Linked DNA regions of Sus scrofa. The main gene of each other region encodes a partner of the protein of the gene in region 2 in a complex. Links are inferred from orthologs where the notes say so. Each region holds a gene or a part of one and is shown on either strand. Other genes may lie near its edges.

The links.
Region 1: the proteins of SMAD7 (region 2) and SMURF2 are in contact, whole or in part, in an NMR structure (PDB 2LTZ), measured with the Homo sapiens proteins. The link is inferred for Sus scrofa from reciprocal best matches to the Homo sapiens genes SMAD7 and SMURF2. Residues at the interface, in NP_005895.1 of Homo sapiens: Glu203, Leu204, Glu205, Ser206, Pro207, Pro208, Pro209, Tyr211, Ser212, Arg213, Tyr214, Pro215, Met216, Asp217; in NP_073576.1 of Homo sapiens: Glu304, Arg306, Asn307, Thr308, Ala309, Thr310, Arg312, Tyr314, Val316, Asp317, His318, Arg321, Thr322, Thr323, Gln324, Phe325, Thr326.

The regions. Positions count from the first base shown.
Region 1 is NC_010454.4:14,479,910-14,483,726, reverse strand, and holds part of SMURF2 (E3 ubiquitin-protein ligase SMURF2), read right to left. Parts: intron 574-3,817; coding exon 453-573; intron 1-452. UniProt on the Homo sapiens protein: E3 ubiquitin-protein ligase which accepts ubiquitin from an E2 ubiquitin-conjugating enzyme in the form of a thioester and then directly transfers the ubiquitin to targeted substrates.
Region 2 is NC_010443.5:98,512,229-98,515,553, forward strand, and holds the end of SMAD7 (mothers against decapentaplegic homolog 7), read right to left. Parts: intron 2,593-3,325; coding exon 2,054-2,592; 3' UTR 572-2,053; downstream 1-571. UniProt on the Homo sapiens protein: Antagonist of signaling by TGF-beta (transforming growth factor) type 1 receptor superfamily members; has been shown to inhibit TGF-beta (Transforming growth factor) and activin signaling by associating with their receptors thus preventing SMAD2 access.

The DNA.
Region 1 (3,817 bases), on a different chromosome or scaffold from region 2:
CTCTCTCCGTTTTTGTCTATCGAGTGCTTTCTTGCAAAGCTTAATGTAAATCCAATTGAACTTAGGCTTTTATTCCAAATAAATTTCAGTATGGTGGACACCAAGTAATAAAGTTTTATTTCACTAAATCAATCACCAATTAGGGAATAAAAACCAACACTGGAAGAATGTACACATAAGACACAAAATCTACTGAACATAAGAACGAGTAATATGGAAAAATAAATTAAGAGTAGTCACAACATAAGAGAGATTGCTTAGTATAGAAATTCCAAACATAAAAGGCTTTTCCAAAGGAGGAAAGACTTTTCCTGTGAATTAGAATTCTCACAGAATTGCATCACAAAACTTCAAAAGCACCAGAAAGACAACTTTCCTCTAAAAGTAAGTAATACCAAAGTCCCGACCTTCCTTTGTTACACTAAATGATGCCATGATATTAATACACTGACCTCTAACTCCTTCTCATCAAATGTCTTCAGCAGATGCTGTGGAATTACTTCATTAAATCCTTTCTGCAGAGCCAGGAACTGCGCCTCAATGCCTCGTAAAAATCTCCAGTTCACATAGAGCCTGGAAACATTGGGCAGGGATTTCATATGATCAAATATATTCAGATGGGTAATTATTATCAATCTCTAGCACTGTGGCAAATTGCACTTCACAAAAATCAAGCATTAAGAACTTAGTCTAACATCTAGAAGAATCTCAGGTTACTGAGGATAGATGGATCCCGAGCCCGAGCTGTGAGGCAGTTCACCTTCAATTAAAAAGTGGTAACCTTCCCCTAACAAAAGCAGCATCAATACAGCTACTCTTCACATCAGAAAAACTCCTGTTAAACTGGAAGTTGGCCAAAGTGTAGATGGGCCTGAAGTTAAAATCTGAATGAAATTTCTTTCTCAACTTCATGCCAATGGCCAGAGAAAAAGAGCCCATTCAAGCAAAAAGGACTATTTTTCTGGTTTCAAAATATAATCGGAGAGTGCTGGGTATTTTCACATTTTGTGGGTGGTATATGGGGGAAGAGGAGGTAAAGACAATCCTTGTATCCAAAATGAGGAGAAACACTAAAAGCCAATATCAAGCACTTTTTGACTAAAACTCGTTTTTTCCTATAGGCTTTAAAGGCCCTAGAAGACGTAATTTTAGCAACAAAAAGAATACTAACATATATCTCACGTATAGCTCTACTAACGCTTTTGATTTGGATTTACAATTTTTAAGTGAATTGCTTTTTTCAAAAATCTATCTTCCCAGGAAAACCTCTCTATCCCACAAATCTCAGAACTATTCACATTCCCAGTTTGTCACTATTTCCTTTTCTAAACTTGGAGAAATAGTTCTCTACTTTAAGAAGTTACTTAATATTACATCCTTTGGAGAACCTTTTTTTTTTTTTTTTTTTGGTCTTTTTGCCATTTCTTAGGCCGCTCTCATGGCATATGGAGGTTCCCAGGTTAGGGGTCTAATCGGAGCTGTAGCCACCGCCTACGCCAGAGCCACAGCAACGCGGGATCCGAGCCGCGTCTGCAACCTACACCACAGCTCACGGCAACGCCGGATCGTTAACCCACTGAGCAAGGGCAAGGATCGAACCGCAACCTCATGGTTCCTAGTCGGGTTCGTTAACCACTGCGCCACGACGGGAACTCCAGAACCTCATTTTTATATTGTTTAAGGGGACAGAAAAACTGCACATCTATAAAAAGTTTTTCTTTGTAACTTTTTAAATTTCAAAACTATTTGGTAAAGGATAATTACTGTGTGCTATAAATATGACTGAATCCTGGAAAGTGGGATCTTGGAAGTGAGCAGTCCGTCCAAGATCTTGGAAATGACACATTACCAAATTTCAGGAAATTCCCGTTCATTCTTTTTTAAAAACTAGAGGAACTCCCGCTGTAGCTCAGGGGGTTAAGCACCTGACACTGTCTCTCTGAGGATGAGGTTCGTACCCTGGTCTTGCTCAGTGGGTTAAGGATCCAGCACTGCCACAAGCTGCAGCATAGGTTGCAGATGTGGCTAGGATCTGGAGTTGCTATGGCTGTGGCATAGGCCTTAGCTGCAGCTCCAATTCAACCCCTGGCATGAATCGGAATTTCCATTTGCTGTAGGTGCAGCTGTAAAAATAAAAAATAAAAATGAGAAATGAAAAAAAAAAGAAAAATTATACAAAAACAAAGGTGGAGACAGAGTAAAACCTTTTGAAAGCCCATTCTTTCACTTTCTTTTCCCTCTACTCCAGGCCCACCACCCTCGCCCCCTCACCCTAGGCAAACATTTTAGTTGGTACACAGCATTCCAAACACCTTCTGTGTGAGTACAAAACAATGCAGACTTTGTTCCTTCTAAGACCTGCTTTTTAAATGACAGCTTAGGCAGAATCTTTCTTTTCATATCCACACAATATTCTGTTTAATGTATGCATTTAATCATTCTCCTCCAAAAACATTTTAGCAGTTTTCAATTTTTCACAAGTAATATTAAACATCCTTATTCATGTTTCTTTAATTACTTATGTGTTTCCAGGGGCGTTCCCGTTGTGGCACAGTGGTTAACGAATCCGACTAGGAACCTGAGATTCTTCTAGATGTTTAGTCCCTGGCCTAGCTCAGTGGGTTAAGGATCTGGCGTTGCCGTGAGCTGTGGTGTAGGTCGCAGATGTGGCTCGATCCTGCGTTGCTGTGGCTGTGGTGTAGGCGGACGGCTCTAGCTCTGATTAGACCCCTAGCCTGGGAACCTCCATATGCTGTGGGCGCAGCCCTAGAAAAGGCAAAAAGACTAATAATAATAATAACAACTTATGTGTTTCCAAAGAACAGATTCCTAAAAATGGTGCTGTTAGTTAAAAGGCATATGTGTTTTCATTTTGCTAAGTGGTATCAAATTGTTTTCCCAAAAAGCTGTACCAATTAGTCACAGTCCATGAGACTGACGGGCCTCATATGTAAACTAGAAAATTTTAGCCAATAAGACTTGGGGACATATTCTGTACAAAAAAGTATAACATGCATGTTTCTGGTACATACGGCAAGTTCTACCTCTTAAAGCTGATCATCATAGTTTAATATTTAGAAGAACTTTAGATACCATGAACCAAATGATCTAACTAAACACTTCTAAACTCTCCCATCAACAGGTGATTTTGTAAAACCAAGAACATTTTCTGGCCTTTTTAAGAAATACATATAAACATATATTTCTTATGTAAACTCACAATATGCTTATGTATAAATAGGCCAAGTGCTAGTAATGAGTCTTTGGTATTCGTGCCTCTGGGCAGTCCCTCCTCCACACCAAACCTGGGCTGGCCTGTGACTGCCTTTAACCAAGAGAATACAGCGGAGTTCCAGGCTTGGGCCTTAAAAAGATCTGACAACTTCTGCTTTTGTTCTCTGAGAAACCAGCCACCCCATCAGAAGTCTGGCTATGTTTCCAGAGAAAGAGGCCAGGAGAGCGTGAGAGGCCTCTGACAGCACCCGGGGATAACCAAGGAAGCCAGCCAACGGTGAGAAGGAAGCCGCAGATGGTGACGAAGGGTCCATCCTGTCCAGCCCCCAGCCGTCCAGGTGAGGCATCAGTTATGTGAGGGGAGAGGCATTCTTACCATCGTGGCCCCAGGTGACAGACATCCCGTGGAGGAGCAGCGTGCTATCGCTATGTCCTCCACCCAAACTACGGACCCACGGGATTGTGGGAAATAAATACATGGTGGTTATTTCTATGCCACTAAATTCTGCAGCATTCTATTTTATAACACTGCCTAAATACATAAATGTTTTTCTGTATTGCCATTCTAGAACATTAAAACAGT
Region 2 (3,325 bases):
AAGCTCTTCAAGATTTTTTTTCTTTTTTTTTTTTCAAGGCTGCACCTGCAGCATATGGAAGTTCCCAGGCAAGGGATCAAATCAGAGCTGCAGCCACCGGCCTACACCAGTCACAGCAGTGCCACGTCAGAGCCACATCTGTAACCTATGCCACAGCTTGCAGCAACACCAGATCCTTAACCCACGGAGGCCAGGGATGGAACCCACATCCTCATGGATATTATAGTTGGGTTCTTACCCTGCTGAGGTACATCAGGAACTCAACTTTTCAAGCTTTGAAAAAAGTCACCTGCTTTTGTAACTCAGGGCTCCCTGAGGTTGACAAATTCAGGACACCCACCAACTACACTCTAGGGTTACTGCCTTATAAGAAAGGTGCTATCTGTGCAGGTATGGCTCTTTCTAGCATTCAGAGAAGACCAAGTTCTTTTGGATGTTTCTCCCTTCTGTGGTCCCCCCCTTTCCTCCCAACCAAGCACGAGGAGACACCAACTGTCCTGGATTCTGCACCTCCCCACTCCCCTCCTACCAGGAAAAAAAAGGAGCTGGAAGACAACAAGGGAATCAAGTATACATTTTAAAAATTGTTTAATGGAACATAAACTCCTTTAGAAAAACATTCAGCCAGGTGATAACACCCATAGAAAAAAACACCAATCTTGTGTTTATCTTTTTTTAATTTGGCATTTGTTATTTGCATTTATATTAAAGCAAAGTGCATCTTTTCTTTATTTTTGTTTATACACATTGCACAATACATAAATAATGATGCTTATAAAACGTCTTCATATTTACAAGTAATAATATATTTATATATAACATAAAATACATTTTTTCTTTAATAAATCTCAGGTTTTTTTCAGGAGTCCTTTCTCTCTCAAAGCACTACAATGCTAAATTTCCAATGAGAATGCTTCTCTTGTTCATTTAAACCTTTGTAGTTAGAAAAATAGCTTATGTTAAAGTCTAAACATGCTCATTGAGCTAAGAGCAGTGTCAACGTATCATCCGAGTGTATGAGTTGTAGAAGAAATGAGAAGAGTTAGGGGTGTCAGCTCAGGATGGTACCTTGGGTTACAATGGACCGAATCCTTCTTGGTGGGAAGGGGGAGCGGGGGGCAGGGGGGTGCTGCTCCCCTCACTGGTCTAACAGCAGAGCTCAGCACACAGGCTGCGGAGGGAAGGAAAATGCTGAGCTGGTTTTCTGAATCCAGGAAAAACCTGATGTAACCAGGGACGGGGAGAGGCTGAGGGGCCTGAGAGGGCACTGGGTGAGCAATACTGTAATGGGGCTGCCCCGGCAGCCCTCAGGAAGTCCATCTCAGAGACAATCCAGGAGCAGGTGGCCAAAAGAGAAAGGACGATGGCAGGGAGGTGGCTGGAGGGGGCGGGGGCGAGTGAGACAGCATGGGAAATAGGTTCTGGTTCGGCTTCTTGTAGAGCTGCTTCGAAGAAGCCTGCGGACAGGCCAATGTCCTAGGAAGGGGTGGCGAGGGGCAGGGGGGCTTCCACAGGCTGGGGACACAACCTTGCTGCTGGCAGCTGCTGGGAGACCTGCTGCCCCACTGCGCAGGTGCAAGGGGCTAGAGACACAGCTTGGGAGCATTCGTAGTTAACAACACAGAGCACACCGCCTCCCCCATCTACACTCACACACGCGCACACACTCACTCACACATAAGCCCTACTAAGGGCTACGATGACCCCAAGGTTGGGGCCTGCTCCCCATTTACACTGTGTTTGGTGGCACTGATTTTTGCTTCCCCTTTTCAGATCTGGGTGTTCTGCCAACCTTACCACTGCCCACCCCTGCCCCCGCCCCAACCCGCCCCGAAGAGGAAAAAAAAAAAAAAAAAAAACCAACAATTCTTTTCATAAGCTATTTCTCAAAGAACAAAACAAAACATAACATAAACAAGAACGACGAGAGGAAGGAAAAAAAAAATGACCAAAGAGTTTGCATGAAAAGCAAGCACTCAGGAGGAAAATCTTAGCAGCAAAGTAGTTTGGACTGGGCCCGCTCGGCTCCCGCTCTGTCCTCTCCCCCACGAGGCTACCGGCTGTTGAAGATGACCTCCAGCCAGCATGGGCAGCTGCTGATGAACTGCCGGGTGTAGCACTGGCCCCAGCCCTTCACGAAGCTGATCTGCACGGTGAACCCAGTCCACGGCTGCTGCATGAACTCGTGGTCGTTGGGCCGCTGCAGGCTGTACGCTTTCTCATAGTCAAAAGCCTTGATGGAGAAACCGGGGAACACTTTGTGTACCAACAGCGTCCTGGAGTCCGGGTTGTCCAGTGTGGCTGACTTGATGAAGATGGGGTAACTGCTGCGGTTGTACACCCACACGCCATCCACTTCCCGCGTGAGCTGGATGCCACAGCCGATCTTGCTCCGCACTTTCTGCACCAGCTGACTCTTGTTGTCCGAATTGAGCTGTCCAAGGCAAAAGCCATTCCCCTGAGGTAGATCATAAAAGATATCCAGGGAGGGCTCCTGGACACAGTAGAGCCTCCCCACTCTCGTCTTCTCCTCCCAGTATGCCACCACGCACCAGTGTGACCGATCCCCAGGCTCCAGAAGAAGTTGGGAATCTAGAAGACAAAATGGCAGACATGGTGGGTGATGATGGGGACTGGCATTTTCCTCTTCCTCCCAAACCAAGATGACGTGCACATCCGCACTCCTGGGCCGCCAGGCCCACTGTTTCTCAGTGCAAGACAGAAAGAGATGATAGGGCACTGGATGTGCCACAGGCTGTACAGTTCCCCTATGGGGGGCTTGGAGATCTTAACCCAGTGATGGAAGAGCGGGGCCTCTAAAGCATGGGGGTCCCTGATCCCTCTGCTCCCCCGCATCCTATCAGGAACCCAGGACACCAACCCTACCAGTGGAAGCCCCATCCCTGCAGAATCAGAAGCCAGGACCACTTAGTAACTTAGTTGGAGGGCTTACTTTTAGGGCTGGGAGAGGCCTTCTAGACAGGTCTAAAATTATAGTCCTTTAAACTGGATGGAACCTTGCAGGCCAGCTGCTCCAGCCCCTTGTCATCCTCATGAGAAAACCTGGCCTCAGGAAGTCTGTTGCTCAGGCCCCAGGGATGACACAGCCAGACCTTGACCCCAGGACCACCTGCTAAACAGTCTCTGTGCTTGTCACCCAGTCCTCAGATCAATGCCTTGGTCATCAGGGAGCACTGTCTGGGGGAAACTTTAATGGAGGTGGCTTGGGATAAAAATACCTATCTTCCTAATAGAAAAACAACTCAGTGTGTCTGTCCCCGGCAGCTCTGTACACAAAGGGTGAGCTCCTGTCAACACGCCAAGT